Oryzias latipes: one gene and its partners. The main gene of each other region encodes a partner of the protein of the gene in region 5 in a complex. Links are inferred from orthologs where the notes say so. Each region holds a gene or a part of one and is shown on either strand. Other genes may lie near its edges. The genes, in order: ppp4c, ppp4r2, ppp4r4, ppp4r1 and ppp4r3a.

Evidence for each region.
Region 1: ppp4r3a (region 5) and ppp4c share a complex: the UniProt entries of both Homo sapiens proteins name them as parts of the PP4 complex. The link is inferred for Oryzias latipes from reciprocal best matches to the Homo sapiens genes PPP4R3A and PPP4C.
Region 2: ppp4r3a (region 5) and ppp4r2 share a complex: the UniProt entries of both Homo sapiens proteins name them as parts of the PP4 complex. The link is inferred for Oryzias latipes from reciprocal best matches to the Homo sapiens genes PPP4R3A and PPP4R2.
Region 3: ppp4r3a (region 5) and ppp4r4 share a complex: the UniProt entries of both Homo sapiens proteins name them as parts of the PP4 complex. The link is inferred for Oryzias latipes from reciprocal best matches to the Homo sapiens genes PPP4R3A and PPP4R4.
Region 4: ppp4r3a (region 5) and ppp4r1 share a complex: the UniProt entries of both Homo sapiens proteins name them as parts of the PP4 complex. The link is inferred for Oryzias latipes from reciprocal best matches to the Homo sapiens genes PPP4R3A and PPP4R1.

Annotation. Positions count from the first base shown.
Region 1 is NC_019866.2:25,210,442-25,213,701, forward strand, and holds part of ppp4c (serine/threonine-protein phosphatase 4 catalytic subunit), read right to left. Parts: intron 3,240-3,260; coding exon 3,188-3,239; intron 3,112-3,187; coding exon 3,061-3,111; intron 2,198-3,060; coding exon 2,096-2,197; intron 2,011-2,095; coding exon 1,837-2,010; intron 1,739-1,836; coding exon 1,612-1,738; intron 1,538-1,611; coding exon 1,348-1,537; intron 1-1,347. UniProt on the Homo sapiens protein: Protein phosphatase that is involved in many processes such as microtubule organization at centrosomes, maturation of spliceosomal snRNPs, apoptosis, DNA repair, tumor necrosis factor (TNF)-alpha signaling, activation of c-Jun N-terminal kinase MAPK8, regulation of histone acetylation, DNA damage checkpoint signaling, NF-kappa-B activation and cell migration.
Region 2 is NC_019863.2:21,903,133-21,908,285, reverse strand, and holds the start of ppp4r2 (serine/threonine-protein phosphatase 4 regulatory subunit 2), read left to right. Parts: upstream 1-1,988; 5' UTR 1,989-2,085; coding exon 2,086-2,119; intron 2,120-2,691; coding exon 2,692-2,773; intron 2,774-5,059; coding exon 5,060-5,153. Other genes in the region: gxylt2 (glucoside xylosyltransferase 2), read left to right, coding at 193-369. UniProt on the Homo sapiens protein: Regulatory subunit of serine/threonine-protein phosphatase 4 (PP4). May regulate the activity of PPP4C at centrosomal microtubule organizing centers.
Region 3 is NC_019882.2:23,160,977-23,165,463, forward strand, and holds part of ppp4r4 (serine/threonine-protein phosphatase 4 regulatory subunit 4), read right to left. Parts: coding exon 4,446-4,487; intron 4,358-4,445; coding exon 4,210-4,357; intron 4,110-4,209; coding exon 3,965-4,109; intron 3,875-3,964; coding exon 3,836-3,874; intron 3,759-3,835; coding exon 3,687-3,758; intron 3,587-3,686; coding exon 3,526-3,586; intron 3,457-3,525; coding exon 3,382-3,456; intron 1,573-3,381; coding exon 1,482-1,572; intron 1,387-1,481; coding exon 1,325-1,386; intron 1,254-1,324; coding exon 956-1,253; intron 1-955. UniProt on the Homo sapiens protein: Putative regulatory subunit of serine/threonine-protein phosphatase 4.
Region 4 is NC_019863.2:13,852,591-13,856,471, forward strand, and holds part of ppp4r1 (serine/threonine-protein phosphatase 4 regulatory subunit 1), read left to right. Parts: intron 1-6; coding exon 7-168; intron 169-319; coding exon 320-420; intron 421-1,782; coding exon 1,783-1,903; intron 1,904-2,154; coding exon 2,155-2,289; intron 2,290-3,310; coding exon 3,311-3,452; intron 3,453-3,667; coding exon 3,668-3,813; 3' UTR 3,814-3,881. UniProt on the Homo sapiens protein: Regulatory subunit of serine/threonine-protein phosphatase 4. May play a role in regulation of cell division in renal glomeruli. The PPP4C-PPP4R1 PP4 complex may play a role in dephosphorylation and regulation of HDAC3.
Region 5 is NC_019882.2:7,227,703-7,232,189, reverse strand, and holds part of ppp4r3a (serine/threonine-protein phosphatase 4 regulatory subunit 3A), read left to right. Parts: coding exon 1-137; intron 138-808; coding exon 809-886; intron 887-999; coding exon 1,000-1,116; intron 1,117-1,917; coding exon 1,918-2,034; intron 2,035-2,121; coding exon 2,122-2,253; intron 2,254-2,495; coding exon 2,496-2,598; intron 2,599-2,683; coding exon 2,684-2,842; intron 2,843-2,967; coding exon 2,968-3,137; intron 3,138-3,624; coding exon 3,625-3,767; intron 3,768-4,487. UniProt on the Homo sapiens protein: Regulatory subunit of serine/threonine-protein phosphatase 4. May regulate the activity of PPP4C at centrosomal microtubule organizing centers.

The DNA of each region.
Region 1 (3,260 bases), on a different chromosome or scaffold from region 5:
CTGCCTGTGAGTCTATAAAGCTGCTCATTGAGTCAGTAATGTATGTTTGGGTCGTCCAAGAGTTAGCATTAGCCGTCCTATGGGAAATTCCATTATACGTTAGCATCAAGCTAGCAGACTTTGGCTTTACTGATGTTATACATTAGATCCCCGGAAAAAAATGAGCATAAAAGATCGATTTCTACTTTAATGGATCTATTATTGATCTACTAAGATTGGATCAATTCAGATCAATTAATCGATTTGATCAAAATCACCGTGCAAAAAAATGTATATACAGTTTTTTTTAAAAGTAAGAAAAGCAGGGAATGTAGGAGGAATTGACTATTATCCATTCTTCCACCATCCCCTGCTACAAGCCCCTCCCACTGGTTCCAGAGGGGCGGCGGCTTCTCCTGCCACAGTTGGGGGCAGCTGCTGCTCCTCACTGGGAGAGTGAATGGTTTCATGAGGCACACATGGAGGCGTGTGCTGCTCATTGATGCTGTTGTAGAGCTCTTCAAAATGAAGAAACGCCATCTGTCATCATCTGCGTCCTCCATGCGGAGGTCGACACGCTTTTGGCGGGAGCTTTAGGCTCACACACCTTAGGACAAACATTAACTAGGACCTTTGACGCATGTTAAACCTTAGCCGTGGCGTGTGGTCCATACAAATCATCCGTTGCACACCTAAATGTCCAGAAAACATTCCATATTTTCTGTTTTATAGGGTGCACCACCAATAAATAACCTATTTTCTACATTACGTCATATATAAGGCGCACTGCACTATAGGGTCCATGAAGAGAGAATAAAAAGGCAGAGGAAAGTCCAGACTTTATAAACAATATTTCTAATTCCTGTTTGCGACGCTCTACACGTTAATTACTTAAGTCGCTCCACATCACAAGTCATTTTGACCAAAATGAAGGTTTATTCTGTGCTCCTCATAGTGCCAAAAATATGCTACGAATTTCTAAATGCAGAACAAATATTTGGAGTTTTGCTGCTTGAAAACATAAATTAACTACAGAAAATAAAATAAATTTTTTTTGCTTTGAATATTGAGACAAACAAACATTTAACAGCTTTGGTTGAATGCAAAGCCTAAAGTAAACAGTTGTACTTTTCAGTCTTAGCAGGACTGGCCGGTTCCCAAAGGTCCATTTTCTCTGCATCTGCATTCTAGTCGTGCTGAAGCACAGCCAGTAAATCTCCTCACAGCAGCAGTCTGAATTAGAGACGCTGTTCCTACAGCTAACCGCTAACCTAAACCTAACTAGCATTCAACTCCTTAAGTGGGCGTGTCCCAAAGGGAGGCTTTTACACAGAGACAAATCAGTGGAACCGGACAGGTGTCCGTCACCTGTAGCAGTAGTTGGGTGCGGACCACACGGTGAGCACAGTCTCGTTGAAGTGCCACTTGTAGCCCTCCATGACCAGCTGGTGCGCTCGACAAATCATGTGGATGTCGTTGGCGGCGTTGAACTGAGCCACCACGTCGCTCCCGAACAGATATCCAGCCCCTCTGGGACTGACCCCCCACCCGGTGGTGTCTGAGAGCAGACCGAAGAGATCAGGCAAACGTGCAGCTTCTCAAACGGAGTCCGGCTCTGGCTGAAGCCGTTACCTTCAGGGTCTGACCACAGAAGGTCACACATGGGCCCATCGTGAGGCACTTCCTGTTTCCTGTCAATGGTCCGGATCTGGTCCAGTGTTTGGATGGAGGGGGACAGCCCTCCGTGCACACAGAAGATCTGGAGGACAGAATGAAAGCCATCAAAACAAAAGCCAAAGGAAAACCTTTTCACGTCCAACATTTTGGAGGAAACGGCGTGAAGAAAACCCGTCCGACCTTTCCATCGATGATGGCAGAGAGCGACAGGTAGTCGAATATCTCGGTGCAGTATCTCCACACCGTCACAGAGCCGTACTTGCGGAGGCACTCATCGTAGAAGCCATAGACCTGTGTGATCTGCCTGGACTCGTGGTTTCCCCGGATCAAAGTGATCCTGTCTGGATAACGCACCTGAGGAACCAAAAACAGGAGGATTTATGTCAGAGACCTGCACAAGTGCAGCACGGAAGGGCTTGATTGACTTCAAATCGTTCACCTTGAGGGCCAGCAGCAGAAGGAAAGTCTCCACGCTGTAGAAGCCTCTGTCCACAAAGTCCCCCATGAAGAGATAATTGGTCTCTGGGACATCTCCCCCCACCTGGTAAATGGCAGGTTTAAAATCAGTGGAATCAACACACAATGCCTTAACGTTTCAAAACTTGACGGTTTTTGGGTTTCCATAATAAACCCTGAACTTCTGCGGTTCTCATGATTCAACTCCAATAGGAGTGAGGCTCTGCTCTTTAATGGCCTCCCCTCCACACACCAGCCAGCCGTCCCTTTCTATAAATGACCCGCTACCGTTTCTTCATCCCTTTGGCAGAAAACACAAAGAGGCCAGCAGAAGGCCTCAGGCTAAAACACACAGTACAGCCTGAGGAGAACCGGTCGGACCATCGGACACCAGAGGAGCGCGGCTGTGCTGTAAACCCACACGTGTACAGACAGAATGAAGGGCAGTTTAAAGCAAACAGCCCAACTTTTGTTTTAATAACACCGTTTGCTTTAAAGTTGACCTGGATCTGGCATCAGCAAACACATTTCAAGGCCTCTGTACAGACATTCTGTTAAAACTACTGAGTACAGAGTACTGCTATTTCTACACAGAGGTCACTAGCAGAAGTTACGGGGCACTTCTCGTGGCGCTCGTGTTTTCATTGCTCCGCCTCGCTGAAGTAGCTCCTCTTTGCTCGCTGCTGTTCTCACATCCGTGCTTTGGACGGACCGGCGGGCGGCTTTTACTCCCAACACGGAAGAGAGCAGAGAGCTGGGGGGAAACGTCTCCATTTTCTCAAAAATAAACAGTCTAAAACATCAAATTGGACATAACTGATTAATGGTCCAGCCCTACGTCACAGCCCATAAAGAAGAAGTGTCCAACCATCAAAACCAAACAGCAGTGCAGGAAAATAAACCACGATTTTGTCTGGAGCTTGGATTAAAACAAACATAAAAGCTTACTCTGAAGAGTTCTTTCAGGTCATAGAACTGACCGTGTATATCACCACAAACCTACAAAAAATAAGAGAACAGAAGGTCAAACGAACAATCAACGACTTTGGATTTAAAAGCAGCAAATGGAACTTACAGTGACTGGAGAGTCTACTCTCTGAACGTTACTCTCTTCAACCAGGATTTCTCTGAAAGAAAGTCATGAACAC
Region 2 (5,153 bases), on a different chromosome or scaffold from region 5:
TTTTAAGCAGAGACCTCAGGGACTTGTCCAGGGCACTGGATTTTGGAATTGTAGATTTGAACCCCCCGGAAAAAAAAATGGCGAACGCCACAGAAAGTGCATAAAGTAGTGAGGGAATTCGGACACAACCTACAAAATTGTCTTCCTGCAGCAGCTGGCTGGGGATCTGACGTTACGCCTTTGTCTCCGCAGTTCCCTTTCGAGGACAACATGTTCCAATCGCTGTTCTACCCGGTCCAGAGCAGGTTCCTGGACACGGTCAACACTCTGTGCGGTCGCATTCCCCAGGTCTTCCTCAAGCAGATAGAGAAGACCATGAGGAGTGCTTTTGAGAGGAAGGTGGTGCGCCATGCCAGACCTCGAAATTAACAGCCGAAGACCATGTTGCCCCACCCACACCCCCATGCTGTGCATTTAAAGCAGACGCAACCTGTGAAGGATCATGAACTCTACAGAAATAAAAAAGTAAATAAAAAGAAACCAAACAAAGAAGTCACTTTTTTATTTATGTTGAGAAAAATGCTCATCTCAAGCATTTCTAAGCGACTAAAATGAACATTTTAAAGGTTCAATTGTATGAGAGCAACTCTTGGACAGTTTAAAGAATGGTGAATATTTTAGCGTCACCATGAAATGTGAACGAACCACCACTGTCTGTATTAAATGTTTGTATGTTAAATGTTTGAAAAGCACTTTTTAAAAAAGATTTTTTTCTTTTAGACCGTGAGACTTTGCCTGACCGAGTTGGACAGATTGTGCAAGAATGTTTTATTGGAGTGAAGTTTAAACGCCATATTAATGTTCATGTGTGCCATGTTTACCATACAAAATAAATGGATTTGTGTAGGTGTGTGTGAGCCTGTAATATGAATCTGTGCTGTTGTGACCCACGTGTTACATGGAAAAGTTTGTGGAGTCTACATATGTTTTCAGAATTAAAATTTTTGCAAAAAACTAACCCATTGTGAGTCTTTTTCCCCCTGCTATTACCTTGTTTGCTTTTGTCCTGGTAAGTGGGCGGAGTCTTAAAGACACCACATTCTTTTATATGAAAGACCCACTCTGATAAAATTGTGTTTCTGTTGTTTTTAACATGTTCTCGTGGCATTTTTTCTGACGATGGAAGAAAAATATCAAGAAAGTTAAGCTTGAGATTGCATTTCTGAGTATTACTTCGTTCAAATTGTGAATTAGGAGCAGACAAAAAATGCAGTTTAAAAAAAAAATTGTGCTCCGCGTCATTCTGATTCATCTATCTAAATGTTCGTTTTCCTCGTCCGAGCTAGCATCTGGCTCAATTAGCTCCAACATTGGTCGCCATTTTTTGCTGCAACGCCACTAGGGATGTGAGGGACTGTAAGCTAGCAGGAGAGAGTGTAAATAGAGAGCTCTCAGCAAAGGGGAAGGGTCAGGGGGGTGGGGTTGCTCCGGGCCAATGGTCCCACCCACAACTCAGACATATTTTTTAATAATAATGACCAACTCTTATTTTCTTTTAGTTGCTATATTGTAATGAAATACATCAATTACAATATACGCAGCACACAGATTGGGTGACAGCTCATGGCTGCTGATTGGTTGATTTAGTGAGAAGCAAAACATACTGTATTTGTAACTTTGTCATTGTAGATAAATACATGTTTATTTGTGCGTGTGACATTTCACACACGGACAAAGCAACTTTATAGACAGACATGTTTGTTTTCCCGTTATAAAACAGTTTTACAGACGCACACATTTCTAATGACGGGTACAAACATTTTTAAAACAGACAGACAATCTGTTTTCTACAGATACTAAATCTTTCAACACACACAAATGTCTCATTACAGGTGCAAACCGTTTTGTGCAACAAATCTAACTTCATATATGCTGCTCTGCAAAAAAAAAAGTCTACTGGGAATGCTCTTTTTTTAGTTGTGTTGTATCAGTTCTCTTCTGTTTGTTGAGTTAGACTCGGGCTGTGACTTAACGACGCCATCTTTAATTACCCCCCCCCCCCCCGCCGCCTCCTAGCCTAGCTTAGCATCGGCTAGCCGCCATCCTGCCGTTGACACCCTCAGCACTAACAGAGGCGACGACGTGATGGAAATTGACTCGATTCAAGAGGCGCTCATAGGTCACTTTCTTCTCCTCATTTAACACCAAGCTGACGAAAAATATCTGATAAATGTCTGCTCTAGGTTACACTAAAAAAAGCGATAATGAAGTGGGTTTTAGTTTACGAGAGCTAGTGTCAACCGATGCTAACTTATTAGCTAGTGCTGTCTTCGAAACGCTTAGCTTTCTTTTTAATGTATTCCTTTCTTTTTTTTTTGAAATAACTAGTTAGTTCTTATAGTTAGCTTTCTTCTTTTTGTTTTCCACGCACCATGATTTCAGATGAATTAGCCGGCTAACGCTTTGGGGAAAACTACCGGCTTCCCCGTTAGGCTAAAGTTAGCATCGCAGGGCTACGATAAGCTAATAGGAACTGCTGATCAACACTTAACGAAAGGAAGGGTTCAGCGATATATATTAATTCCTCGGGTTGAGTTAAAGTGGGCATTGAGCGTTAACCAGGTTAAACTGGACGACCACAAATTAATCCGACATTCTCAGCTGCTCAGTTTGGCTAAACTGTTCGTTTTTTAAGCTAGGCTAAATCGAGACCTGTTCGTGTTCAGCCAATTTGTTAAAATGTTTCTACAGATTTTGACAAGAAATCTAAAAAGGAACCATCCCCTGTTCTGGAGGAGTTCCTGTGCCATGTTGCCAAAACTGGACAGACCATGTAAGTGTCCTTTTTCTCTCGGTTTTTCTGCTCCAGTATTTGAAACTCTTCGGTTTACTTTGAGCCTTTCACTTTCCATTGATGCTCTATTGTTCACTTTCACAGGAAATTCTTACTATGACAGTTACCTATATGCTTTTCCTAATGCAAGTTCTGCACGAAATAGGGTCAAATAGAACGGGGGAAAAGGGTCAGTCAGGATGAAGGGATCAAACTTATCTCGGATAATTCCTTGATTTTTGAGTCATTTTTGTTTGCAACCTGGTTTTCAGATTCGTGACAGCTTCTATACTATAGAGGTGAACTCTGGTTTACTTCTCAGTCTGAAGTCCATGCAGATAGCAGTTTATGGTTCGGTGTCTGCAGTTACATCCCACAGAAAACACTGCTGATATTGTATTTGGACCCATCAGAGAGTTTTTGGAGATGTTTGCGGGGGGGGTTTCCGGTCATAAGAAGAATACATCTTTGAAACTTTCCACTTTCTCCAGTTTTACCCGTGTCTATTATTGTCAGTGTTGTCGGAAACGTTCATCTGCCCCGATACCATTTCCTGCTTTTATGGAACTCAACAAATGTTGAATGTGTTGCCCTCTGCAGACATCGAATGTGTGCCGTGTTATTTTAAACGTGACGTTAAAAACCTGTTACACAGAGAATGGTGCAGCTTTACCTTGAAACTTGTGAATCCACGACCACAAAATTTTATTAAAGTTTGGTTAAAGTGAGCTTTCTTTATGAGAATTATTATGGAATAATGAGTGAAATAAATAAATGTATTACAGATGTTGGCAAAAATGAATACTTATGCTTATTACAGCTGTGTGTGTGAGGGGCTAAGTAATCAACTGTAGCATCACCAGTCGTCTAGCGATAACTTGTCTCTTCGAGAAAAGAGGTTAAAAAATAAAGGTTTTTTTTGAGGTGATGGAAAACGTTTTAAACAAATAAGAAACATACAAACTGGGTTGATTTACGTTTCCCAGCTAGTATGAGTGTAAGGTTCTTTATTTTTTCTTTCTATCGTCTAACAAAAGCCCATCCAAGAAGCTTCATCACTTCTAGTGGAAGAGGAAGACCACAAAATCAGCTTATTTATAGGTCTTTGTTTTATTCAGAATATCCCTTCATTCGGGCTTAGATTTCAGTTTCGGTGTATTTACAATAATAGGTGAAGAAATGTCGTAGATGCTGTGGAGCTACAGAATGGTAAACATACTGAGGCCATTCTAGTTCAAATATATGTTAGCTTGATGCTATATTTAGGGATACAGGAGGTTGTTGGTGTTGGTAAAAATGACCACTTCTGCTGATATTTCTGTTAGTAAAGCCTTAGTCACATGCTGCCGTACTGGGTTTGGTTTTTCCAGGGTTGTCGACCTTGAGGGACATCGTGAAAATAAAACATATGATTGTCTTGCGTGTGTTAAGCGTATTGTAAAGTATTTGTAAGGATGTAGGTTTGATGTACAGGTGCTGGTGTCGTACGGGGGCCTTACGCTACACTATTTGTTTAGTAAGGTGCGCATACTGACTCATTGTTGACGGCGTGCAATTGCTGCACACGTGGGAGTGCAGGTCATATGCAAGTGCCTGTAGGACGTCCACGGGAATTAAACTCGTTTGTTCCCCTTTCGGCATATCGTTTCAGGGGTGGCCACAGCCAATCAGCTTTCACTGATTCATACAGGTGGCAGAGATTGTTATTTCTTCTGCCACAACTCTATTTATTTCCGGGCTGGGGACCGGCACAGTGTGTGAAGGGTCTTGCCCAAGGACCCACACTGGATGAAGATCATCCAGAAAACATTATTTGCTCTTCGAGCGTTCTACGAATTTGATATTGTTTGTGGAGCGCCTGTTTGGCCCGCACAGGTTGGTCAATTCTTAACCTGCAGACAGCCTGGATCCACCCATAAGGGAAGTTATGACTAAGGCGTAAAGTGTGGCTTCTCCTATATGATTGAATGAAATGAAAGTGTATTAGAGATAAATCTGTATAATAGAAGGGTTTTCATTTGCAAAAGGTCAATATTTGGTTTATTTGAATATTTTAGAAGTTTCTATTGGATCAAACATTTTTATAGGTTGATCATATCAATGTGTTTTCAGTCATTTATACCCAAAAAACAAGTTCAGAGCTGAGAGTAGGAAAGAGCGATTAAGACTCAGAACCGAGCAGCTGGTTGTTTTTACCAAAGAAAGAGGAACATGGATTAATACTACGACAAAGGAGTACTTTACCGGTTTCCTGTTCATCCTCATCTCCTGTGTCCAACTCTCCAGGGTCCAGTGGTCTCAGTTCAAAAGCTACTTCCTGTTCAAGCTGGAGACGGTGATGGACGACTTCAGAGCGTCGGCGCCCGAACAGAGAGGCGCC
Region 3 (4,487 bases), about 16 Mb from region 5:
CACTCCAGCTCCATGGGCTTATGATGTTTATCTTATTTTCATTGAGAAAATAATAAAAAGATCCCCCAGTTTTCTTTTCTTTTCCCCTCTTTGGTAATACCCCCTGGGCCACAGACAGACGGACGTAACGTTTAAACGGCTGTAACCCAGGTGCAGCTTTCACTGCAGGAGTGAAGTACACTGGGAGAGACTAAATGATCTGGTGAACCCAGACACGGCGACAAGCTCTCCATAACATATAAACCCAAGCTACTCGCTTAACGTCATCCATGTTTCCAAGATGTGGAGATGAATAAAGTCCATAAAAACGTTGGTTGCTCTGTGACCGGGGCGTCAAGGTGTCAGACAGTAAATTTGATCAAAAGAGAGGCAGCAGACGTGGATTTGACCCGGTGTGAATGCAGCATTAGAAGTAGCGGTACCACAGGTCCTGCATTCCAACCGCTGTTAGACCGTACAACTCAACAGTCCAACTACAGATACATTAACCTTTTTTCTATGATAAACATTCAATGCACTTCTGCTTTGTCTTGTCTGAAGAACACCTAGGGCCTGAATGTTAGTTCTATCAAAGAAGACCCACAACAGAGCCTGTTTAGACACAGGGAACTCCTCCAAGTTCAGTCTCTGCCTGAGTGTCTTTCTTCCTCTTTAGACTGACATGTTCATCTGCATAACGACATAACGCCATCTCTGCTTCTAGCTGGTGGAAGAACACTGTTGAGTGGATTGAGCTAAGGACTAAAGCAGAACATTCTGGATTAAAATAGGGTATGCACTGTCCCAAATTAAGTTGATGTCCAACCACGACAGACAAGGTTTGTGTAAAAGAAACATCAGAACATCAAGGTCTAACCATCACAAGGATGCTCGTTCAACAGGAAATAAAACTCTTCTTTGGATTTGTGAAAGATACAGGATAAACAAAGCAGTTTCAGAATTGGTCTGGACTTACAGTTTTCTAGACCGACTGTCCTTCACCCCGCTGCTACGCTCCATTGTTTTACTGCTCTGCTCCAAAGTGCTACTTCTGTGCCCTCTGTGGTCCAAAGTACTGGTTCTGTGGTCTTTGGAATAAAAACCACTATTGCTGTGCTCCATCACACTTTTCATGGAGTCCACGCTGGTAGTTCTGTCCAAGATACTGGGTCTGTCCAGTACACTTGATAGGCTTGTGTCATTTCGTACCAGAATCGGCATAAAGGAGGTGGTCTGGGTTGTCATGGTGAAGTGACTTGTTCTCAGGGAGGCATCTGCAAAACACATGAAGTGATGTACTGTATATGTCAGAAAAACATGCAAGGTCCTGAGTGCACACTGTTACCTTTGCTAACCAACACAGAGGACTTCCCAAGTCGAAACGAACCACTTAGGTCTTTGACCTTCCTGAAAAAAAGGTTACATTATAAGAATATTTGTCAAAGATTTAAAGGCAGAAACAAAACCAATCTGTGGCGTGTCTCTACGTGAGTGCATCTTACAGTGGTCTGTCAGAATTCACAGGTTTGCTTGATGACGGCTGACTGCTGAGGGAACGACTGCGAGACAATTTTGGCTTCCTCCTCTCTTTACCTGGAAGACGGAAGGCCTCATCATCCAAATCATCAATCATCTTTATTTAGATTTTCAGCACCACCATTATTACCATCCATAGTCCAGTGAGACAAAGTTAGTTAGTTCAGCAGTGAGACAAAAGAAAGTCAACAAGCAATAAAATCAACCAGTTTACCTGTTAGGATGAAACAAAAGTACAGTGATCCCTTGATTATCGCGGGGGTTACGTTCCAAATAGAACCCGTGATAAGCAAAACCCGTGAAGTAGAAACCTTTATTTTTTTACAATTATTATACAATGAAATTCACTATTATACATTGAAAAGAAAGAACAAACCATTTAACAGGCTAAATCAATTGTTTTTTTAACAATTTAACTTTAGAAACGTTTTTCAACAAATAACTTCTGTAGTGTGCTGTCAAATAATAATTTCAATCATCGATAAGAACAGAAGGCTTTAAATTGCAGAGATTAGCCCCGCCCACCGCGACCCGAGAGTAATTGGATTAAACGGGAGAAAATTTAAAATGATTATGAAAAAAATAAAAAAGTACAGTGGGACAGATAGTGACTCCGGTCTACTTTTTCACTGCTCTTCATACTGAGCCGCTGCATCCTCTGCAGCGTTTTTTCCTTCTGAAGCCCGCGGTGCAGCTGCAGGTGTGTTTGTTCGGGAGAGGAACATAGTGATAGGCAGTTGTTGTCGCTCTTTTTTCTTCTTTGCTAAAGACCCTCTTACACCGACATGCCCCCATCGATTATGTTGGAGAACTGTAATGAACGGCTCATCAAAGGGTCCCATTCTTGAGCTACTCGCTGAGTGACTTTTTAGCCAATCAGAATGCAGAACACAATGCACAATCCAAATCCGTGAAGTAGCAAAACCGTGAAAAGTAAACCGTGATATAGCAAGGGATCACTGTATTAGTAACTTTAACAATGAGAGACAAGGAAAGTGACTAACACAAAACTCCTGGATCTATCTTCAAGACATTCTTGACAGATCTTCATCTGCTGGGAGAACCAACCTTTCCTGGTTTAATAGGTAAATATATCTGAGTATCAGCAGCAAAGAAAATGTATGCTGTGCTACTGAATAATGTTACCCAAGGGAGCATGTTGAACTAATTAGGAGTGAACCAAGCACAGAGCCTTGTGGTGCACCATGACTGATTGCTGGGTGAGAAAGACTCATCGGTTACACAATTACCCTGCAATCTATCAGATAAAAGGTTTGACATAAAAAAGGACATAATAGAACAGCTTAAAGCTGTTCCTGTGATACCAATGATATATTCCAGTCTCTGCAAAAAAATGTTCTGATTAATGATGTCAAATGCAGCACTGAGGTCTAAAAGAACAAGAACAGGTCCAGTGTCTACACCATGAGGAGATCATTGTTCCCTCTAGCAGAACCATTTCTATGCTGTGATGAGCTCCAAATCCTCACTCAAAAATCCTCCTTAATCCTAAAAAATAATTTTGATCAGGTGCTTAAGGAGTTGATCTGCAACAGTTTTTTTTCAAGCACCTTAGATGATTTTTCAAATAATGAGATATTTTCTGATTTTTAGCTAACGCTGTAATTACTGTAACCTTTATATCCACAGGAACATACTCTATTTTTAAGACACATTATTCAGATCAATTTTCTAGAAACATGGATTACAGGAAAATTCTCAGTTGACAATAAGAGGAAATCAGATCCAAGAAAGGAAAGGAAGATTTGCAGCTGTATGTTACTTGTGCTAGTGTAGAGGGCTCAAGAGGACAAAGGTGTATTTAAGAAATAATGGTTATTGCTATCATCTTTATCATCAACTTACCAGAGGGTGGTGCTGCTACTGGGGAGGAGATGGACACAGACTTAGTGAAAGTCAGGCTGGTCTTGCTGTCTCTTCCTGTTGGAGGAAAAGGTTAACCAAAGCTTTGGTCCAAAAATCTTTTGAGAGGATGAAGGTTCAGCTCACGCTTTCTCTCTGTGTGCCTGTCAGAGGTCACTTTACCATCGCTGTCCTGTTCCAACTGTTCCTGACAACACATAACACAACAAACAGCAGTATGACATTAAAACCAGTTGGACCAAGTTGGCCAGTTCCAAGCTGGAGTCACGTTCTGGCTTTTGACTCACCATTTCCAGCTGGACAGTCTCTTCTTTCTTTTTCTTCAGGTCCAGCAGGTCCCTCTCCTGCCTCTTGTGAAACTGCACATACCCAGAAGATGGAGTTTGGAACAAATGTTTGCCTAATGCATTTGCAGAACACATGCTTTGCAGCTTACAGGTTCTGACAGGTCCAGTTTGTTCAGTTCCAGCACAGTCTGAAAATGATATTAGATATAGTTACACACAGAATCTTGAACACCATCACAGCCCATCCTCAATCCGGACAGTTCTTTGGTGAGGTTTACCTTCGGGATTGTGGCCACCACATCTTTGTCTTTTTCCCTGCATAAAAGTTTCTGAACACAAAAGTCCAATTTCTGCAGCAGAAGTTTGTCTGCTGGCAGGCAGAGACATAAGCGCAACCTGGGCAGCAGCTGGCAGAGCTTGTATCTAAGAAACAGGTGAGCAGGACAAGCTATTGAGTGGGATGTGGTGACCTTAATATTTGTCAAATTTCAGCTTGTGGCTTAGTAGAAATGCATTGAAGTACCTCACATTGGCAATGGGGTCATGGGCAAGCTCCAGCGCTGGAATCAGGAAATATTTACTGAAGTATTTTTTTGAGAAAATCTCTGTGGCAATTTCACAGACGTCAAGGAACCTAAGACGGTTCCAATAGCTTCGACCCAAAGCCAAATCTACAATCAGAGAAAGTCCTCTTTGTCTTGTCCTGACACATTTGTTTTCATCTTCACTAAAGCTGGAAAAAGCAGAAGATACTCTGACCTTGGATCAAACGTTCCATCATCTCCTGACGTTGTTCCTGCT
Region 4 (3,881 bases), on a different chromosome or scaffold from region 5:
TCTTAGTGGAAAGTGCGACGCACACTGGCTTTCTCTATCCATGAACTGGCGGTTATCCTGGGCGACCAGCTGACAGCCGCTGATCTGGTTCCCATATTCAACGGCTTCCTGAAAGATCTGGATGAAGTTCGCATCGGCGTGCTGAAGCATCTTTATGACTTCTTAAAGGTAAAGTAATTCCCATGCAGACTAAAGCTGCAGGTACAGTCACAGCTGCTTCGTGAAAGATGTTGAAGCTCTTTAAAAATCATTTCTAAACCAAAGGAAGTCGTTGGCATGGGTGTGCTAGATAATGTTGTTTGTCATTCTCTTGTTGCAGCTGCTGCATGCAGACAAAAGGAGAGAGTATCTGTACCAACTGCAGGAGTTCATGGTCACAGACAACAGTCGCAACTGGAGATTCAGATATGAGCTGGCAGAGTACGTTGACTTTTGTTTCCTCACACACAACAGACTTGAACATCATTTTCTATTCAGTTTATTCATAAAGCACTGCTTCATATTTCTGTGTTAAAAAACATGTCTATGAGGACTCTCATTCATCCAGGTTGATTCCATCATAGTAGTAGGTTTAGGGGCTGTCATCTGCAAACCTACTACTATGGTGTTAAGAAACAGTTTCAGTAGGGGGTGAGGGATGCAAACCAATATATTAGATATCATAATATTTTAGCCAGACTAATAACAGTGTTCCCTCGTTTATTGTCAGGGATAATTAAACCGAGATGGGTGAAATCCACAAAGTAAGAGTATAGATGTTTAAGGCTGTAAAAGCCTTTAGGCACACTTTCGATACTTTTTCAGACAGACTTTACATTTTCCCATTTTCTCTCTTGTTTAAACTCTCAAAGCTAAGACCTTCATGGAAAAATGAGCCCAGTATTATAGAATAAATACAAAGATCTGTTCTCGATCAGTGTTTTATGTAAATAGGGGAACGCTGAAAGCATCCTCTACAGGAGATGCAGCACAGAGGAAATTGATTGACGAGGTCAACAGCCAATCAAGATGTAGAACACATTGTGTTGTAAACAAAACATGCAAAATCACGCTAAAAAAAATCTGAAAACAGCGAGACCACCATGGATGAACACTGTATCTATAAAAGGGGTTTAGGATTGTACATTCCCTTTTTTTATGTTTATTTAACACCACATTATCCTGATTGACAGCAGATTCATGTGCTGTCTCTTGCTGGATTAGTAAATAATAATTATTTGTATTTCTAGCTTCTTTTTTTGGGGGGGGAATAAAGCCAAAATCTGTATATTTTAAGAGATAACCATAACATGAAAAAGAAAGTCATTCTACAACATTCTAGCATTTGGTTCTGCTCACACACTTGTGCACTGTTGAGGCAAAAACATGCGTCAATGGAGAAGTGTGAATTATTCATGACACAGTGTCTGGAGAATATTCTCTTTCTTGACCGTGGTCTCTTCAGGGTCCTAGTGCCAGTTGGATCTAGTCCGGGCTTCACATTGCTGGCAGCTTGCCCTTTCTGTTGTGTATTTTTAACGTTTGCTTCAAGCAGTGACAACAGTAACCAACACACTGAACATGTGTGCACATGAACGCAATAAGTAGCTCCTATTGCCACATATCATGGAGCATAAATGCATTTCTGCTTTGATAGGTATGAAGTCATAACACAATCCTGTCTTAAATAAAATCAGGCATAGTTCTTTTAGCCCTAGATCTGTTCAAATTACAGGTATTCTAACTGACTTTATTTTCTATCAGCTTCATAATTGTGTGTTGCTGTTTTTTTTTTTCCTACAGGCAGCTGATCTTGATAATAGAGTTGTACAACCACCGTGACGTGTACGACTACCTCAGACATATAGCGCTCACCCTTTGCTCTGACAAAGTGTCAGAAGTCCGGTGGATTTCTTACAAACTGGTAAGTTTACAAGAAATGGGGTTTGTAGAAAGACATGTCTAAATATTTAAAGAAACATGACAGTAGTATCACAATAGAGAGGAAGTTTAGATGCTACACACATGGAAGAAAAAAACCCATAACCATCATGATTCAGGTTTTAGCATCAAGGCGACATCTGGGGAAAATATTCCAATTTGTCAGCTGCTGATTCATTCATTGAAACTTCTAGAAGTGGTCTGAGTGGGTTGTGTGCTCTTACCTGTCGTCAGGTGGTGGAAATTCTGCAGAAGCTGTATGCCAGCAGGGCTGATGACCTGGGCTTGGAGTTCATCAATGAGCTGACCGTGAGGTTCTGCCACTGTCCCAAGTGGGTGGGGAGGCAGGCGTTTGCCTTCATCTGCCAGGTCTGTGTTTGCTTTTAGAATCCACATTATATTAGGGAAGAGGTATTCTCAATAATTCTTTGAACACGCTTTTGTTTATTTTGGTTTTAATCTTTCAACTGAATGTATAAAAATGCTGATACTGAGCTCCTAAACCAAAAGACAGACTGACCGGTGTGAACTTTATTACTGCTGTGTGATTCTAAGTTACAAGCAAAACTGATGGAAAAATTTTCACTTAATTTTTAATACAGCAAAGAAGACTTTGATTCCTAAATGCAAACATGCATTCAATCATTTTTATTTGAGTAAAACTTGGACAGACTAAAAAGTTCTGTGGTTTTCTCTGTTTCATTTCTGGTGAATCTGTTTGATCTCTAACAGGAACACTTTCCTCTGAATATCAGCTGTTTCTGCTGTTTTCGCATACAAAAGAAAACATTTGTCAGTGTCAATTAAAGACCAGCAAGTAGATGGTGTTCGGCTTGGTCCCGCCTATAAAATCCTCCCACAATTCTCTGGGAACGATCAACTCATTTACTTGCCCATGTCATACTTTACATATGTAGCCATGGTGAAACAACAGAACTTCATTTGTGTTTAAAAGCCCAGATGCACATTAAAGCTTGCAGATAACCTGAACCTCAAAAAGTGAGCAAAGTGCTCTGGGCTCTGAGGGGTTTTTACCCATCAACTTACAAACTGTGACTAGTCAGTGCAGCTTTCCACTTTTTTTTTTTTTTTTCCTGTTTCTGTGTCCATGGCTGTCTCCAAATCAAATGTCCTCAAAGACACAAGAGGGACAATTCAGCTCAGAAAGGGGGGTGTTTGTGTTGCTGGTTTTATCTGCAACTGAAAATAATTACAAAACTTGTTTTTTTGTCTTCAGTGTTGCACAATCAGATAAGGTTGATGCCATAGAATGCTCTTTGTTGATGAACCTGTTTGTTGACTTTCTATGTGATTTCTCTGGACTGAACTCCTTGTTGACGGACTTCCTCCTGCAGCTTTCTGACTGACCGTTCTGTTGAATCTCCTGCAGGCTGTTGTGGAGGAGGACTGCATGCCCATGGAGCAGTTCAGCCAGCATCTCCTGCCCAGTCTGCTCAGCCTCTCCACAGACCCTGTAGCCAATGTCCGCGTTCTGGTGGCCAAGGCTTTACGTCAGAGCGTGATGGAAAAAGGTATAGAGCAGGAACATTTCATGTGTGTAGATTATTTGCAGTTTCCCAACATTGTTTATTTCCTTGTAATTCAAGCCTTGGAGTGTGACCTTCAACAACCACAACAAAAAGATGTGATGATGAGCAAGGTTCAGAAATGCTGGGTTGGATGTTGAATGTCCTGTTTGTGCAAAAATGTCACCTTTTCTCTCCTTTTTTGATTTTTTTTCCCCCAGCTTATTTTAGAGAGCCGGGCTGTGCCTATTCTAACAAGCTGGAGGAGACTGTGATGGCTCTGCAGTCCGACAAGGACCGAGACGTCCGATTCTTCGCCAGCATGGACCCAAGCAAAGGCCTAATGGACACGGCCCCTTTTATCTAGCCTCAGCTCTCACACACCTTCACAGCCTGCCTGTCTTACCTTCTTGGCTGCCTGACCGACACACGGCT
Region 5 (4,487 bases):
AAATACACCAGACATATCGAGTGCAGTATATTCAGGATATGGTGCTGCCTACTCCCTCTGTTTTTGAGGAAAATATGCTGTCCACCCTGCACTCCTTCATCTTCTTCAATAAGGTGGAGATTGTGGGCATGCTACAGGTGAGACCCCCTTTTTTTCCCCTTAAGGTTGTGAATGTAAATGCATGTTTGAAAAAAAAATACTAGTTGGGGGATGAATGGATGTTTTTAAATGAACAAACCTCATGTGGAAGTAGTATATTTATATTTTTTCCCCGTCACACTTAAAATGGAAATGGGTGAGGCTCTTTTGACAGTCGTTTATGGTCATGTGACCTTTGTGTTTTGTACTGTCAGCTCAGCAGTGTTTATGTATTGCTGTCCCCATGGAGATGGAGAAGTGTTGTGTAAATCCGTTGTGCTGTCCAGGAGGAAAAGTGAAACTCAAACACTTTTGGTACACTGTGCTGTGTGTAATCAACCAGTGCTGTATATTTCTTCCCTTTTTATATTCTAAAAACTCTTTATGCAAATATGATCAGAGTTTTTCATTCAGAGTGTTAGAGATTATTATACAATTTTTTTCTTTTTTATTATTATGAACATGCATATCCTTCATAGATTGAACCTAAAAAGAAATATTTGAATTATGTTATTGTTTTTGGTTAATTATGTTGCATAATTTTATTCTTCTGTTACTGTAAACATGAAATGCAGCACATTAGCATTAGAAAATTCATTTCTGTTGTGCTTCAATTTTCTACTGGTTTACTGGATATTTCATTCTTTATTTGTTTCTTGTTTGGTGTCAGGACGATGAAAAATTCCTGACGGACCTCTTTGCACAGCTAACAGATGAGTCCACAGATGACGACAAAAGACATGAACTGGTATTATTTTACAATATACTGATATCATTTATTTAAAGTGTTAATCTTCTCCACATTAGTTGATATATAATTTTTTTTTTACCTTGTTTCATCGAATTTCTTTGTCTTATCAGGTAAGCTTCCTAAAGGAGTTCTGCGCATTTTCACAAACGTTACAACCTCAAAACAGAGACGCCTTCTTTAAGACATTGTCAAACATGGGCATTTTACCTGCACTGGAGGTCATACTGGTGAGTGATTGGCGTTGGGATTAGGACAAATTATGAGTCAGAGATACAAAGAAATTGGCTCCTTTTGTTGATATTATAGATATTTCTGCTGTGTTGCTTTAGAATTGTAGAACTTGTCGGTCTCCAGCCTGTGGTTTTTGTACAGGATGTTATCATATAGACCATGTTTTATGATCAGATTTTTCCTCATCGATATGTTGGTACATTTTATACCAAAATAAAACTAAGCAAACATTGGTTTTCTCTTTGTAACATAAAACAGAAATTAATAACCAAACTGGTAAACACAATAGAGATTTTTTTTCCTTTCAATGGAGGCTATTTTTATTAACCAGTGTGCAGGACTCCTGATTTCTACATTGTTCCTTCTCTTAAATTTGTCACTTTTACTTTGCTATGAATATGCTTGTTTTGTTTTGGCGTAAAACTTTAAAATTAGATTTTGGCCATATTGTTCCAAATGAGGAGTAAATTATTTCTCATACTAGAATTGGCAGGACTATTTTTCTCATAGAAAATGGATATCTGCTGCAAATTGTAACCTTTATAATAGTTCAAATTTTAGATGAATTTACTTAGGGTTAGGGTTCCTTTACTTTGACTTTCATGAACATAGTTAAGGTTTTCTAATAATTATACAACAAAACAATATTTTATTGACTTTGCCTTATGGTAAATTTATAAAATGTAATTAAATATTGCCCCCCTCCTTAACTGTTACTAAAGTTGGAATGTTTTTTTGTTTTTTTTGGTAGATTAAAAAATAAGTTTTAATGGCTGACATTCTTTTATGCTGAATAGGGAATGGATGATGTTCAAGTGCGCGGGGCAGCCACAGATATCTTCTCGTATCTGGTGGAGTACAACCCCTCCATGGTAAGAGAGTTTGTCATGCAGGAATCTCAGCAGAATGATGATGTGAGTATACAGCAAATGACAGGCTTAAATGAAAGGTGGCCCTAATTGTTTCTTAGGTTGATACAAACACATTTATTTTGTTTTCAGGACATTCTATTAATCAACTTGATCATAGAGCACATGATCTGTGACTCAGACCCAGAACTTGGTGGTGCAGTTCAGCTTATGGGGTTGCTACGGACTCTGCTGGATCCAGAGAACATGCTGGCAACTGCTAACGTGAGTTTGCTCTTGTACTTCTAATCACTTGTGACAGAATTTCCCGATAGCAGTTTGATTTTCCTGCTGATCAAGTTTCTCTGCCTGGGAAGAAACAATATCAGGGCCCCCAGTTTAACAGGTTGGGCCAGAGATCTGTACCTTCCCAAGTAAACTGCTAAGGGTGGGAACATTATGTTCTGTGTATTTTTAGAAGGTGTGCAACTAATTCAAAAAAAATGTTGCTTTCTTTTTCTTTGCAGAAAACAGAAAAGACAGAGTTCTTGAGCTTTTTCTACAAACATTGTATGCATGTCCTCTCCGCTCCACTACTAGCCAACACCACAGAAGAAAAACCCAGCAAAGGTATTAAAGTTCAAGATGTCTTTGGTTATCATACTTTGTTAAACGCTTTATGAAATGTTCTTTTTTTTTCTTCTTCCCTTTGTAGATGATTTTCAAACATCGCAGTTATTGGCATTGATTTTGGAGCTGTTAACATTTTGTGTTGAGCATCACACGTATCACATAAAGAACTACATCATCAACAAAGATATTCTCAGGAGGGTACTAGTGCTCACTGCCTCTCAGCATGCCTTCCTGGCACTTTGTAAGTTTTACGTCTTCAAATTCTACTTTCAAGATGTGTTCATTTTCAAATCACTCCACACTTTCAATTCCTTGTTAATGTTGACATAAAATAGGTTACAAAAGGACCTATTTCTGTATTCACAGGTGCCCTACGCTTCATGCGAAGGATCATTGGTCTGAAGGATGAATTCTACAATCGATACATCATGAGAAACTTTCTCTTTGAGCCTGTCGTCAAAGCTTTCCTCAAAAACGGCTCCCGCTACAATCTGATGAACTCTGCCATCATTGAGATGTTTGAATATGTCCGCGTAGTGAGTGTTCCCCGTTGTTTTCACTTTCTGAAACTCAAATGCTTCAAATACAAATTAAAAAAAAAAGTTACAGAAAAGTTTTTAGTAATTGTAGATGTTATAGACTAGAAAACGATACTAAGATATCTCTCAAAACGGACTCTAAGAAAAACTTCTTCCTTTTGTTATGGTTGGAAAAACAATTTTTTATAGTTTTTCATTTGTTTGTTTCTGCAGAGCACCGATGACTTGATCTGTTAAATGTTTTCTTAAAGTCAAATGTGTAATGCTGAGACATCAGCAACATTTTTGTTTTGTTGTTCCAGGTAAAAGTAACTTTTCCCATTGGTCTCTAAAAAAGCAAAAACAAAGCCTAAACTTTAAAATATTCTTAAACTTTTCGTTACACCCATTTTCTTTTTAGTTTAGTTTGTGTCCCAAACCAATCTTTTTCAATGCTTCTTTCTCATCAAGCTGCACTTGTTCTTTATCTGCTTTTTCCTTCAAGGAGGATGTGAAATCTCTAACAGCTCATATAGTTGAAAACTACTGGAAGGCTTTGGAAGATGTGGACTACGTCCAGACCTTCAAAGGCCTTAAGCTCCGGTATGAGCAGCAGCGAGAGCGGCAAGACAACCCCAAGCTGGACAGGTGAGAGGGCAAAGACCCGGTCCTAATGTTGCATGACATAGCTAAAAGCAAAATGTGTGTTTTAATACATGTATTGTGTTAAAATACAAGGTCAGGTGTGGTAAGACAGAATACATGTGTCTGAACGAGAGGGATCAAAGTAGAAGCGTTAGGTTACAGGGGGCTGAGGTGAAGAAGGTGCAGGAGTTTAAGTACTTGGGATCAACAGTTCAGTGTGATGGGGAGTGTGGAAAAGAGGTGATGAGGCGAGTGCAGGGAGGTTGGAGCGAGTGGAGGAAAGTGTCAGGAGTGTTGTGTGACAGAAGAGTGTCAGCAAGACTCAAAGGAAAGGTGTACAAGACAGTGGTGAGACCAGCTCTGCTCTATGGGTTAGAGACGGTAGCAGTGAGACAGAGACAAGAGGCTGAGATGGAGGTAGCGGAGATGAAGATGTTGAGGTTCTCCTTAGGAGTGACCAGGTTAGACAGGATAAGGAACGAGTACATCAGAGGGACGGCTCATGTTGCCTGTGTTAGCGACAAAGTCAGAGAAGCCAGACTGAGATGGTTTGGACATGTTCAGAGGAGGGATAGTGGATATATTGGTAGAAGGATGTTGGAGATGGAGCTGCCTGGCAGGAGGGCAAGAGGACGGCCAAAGAGGAGATATATGGATGTCTTAACAGAGGACATGAAGTTGGCTAATGTTAGGGTAGAAGATGTTCATGATAGTGAGATGGAA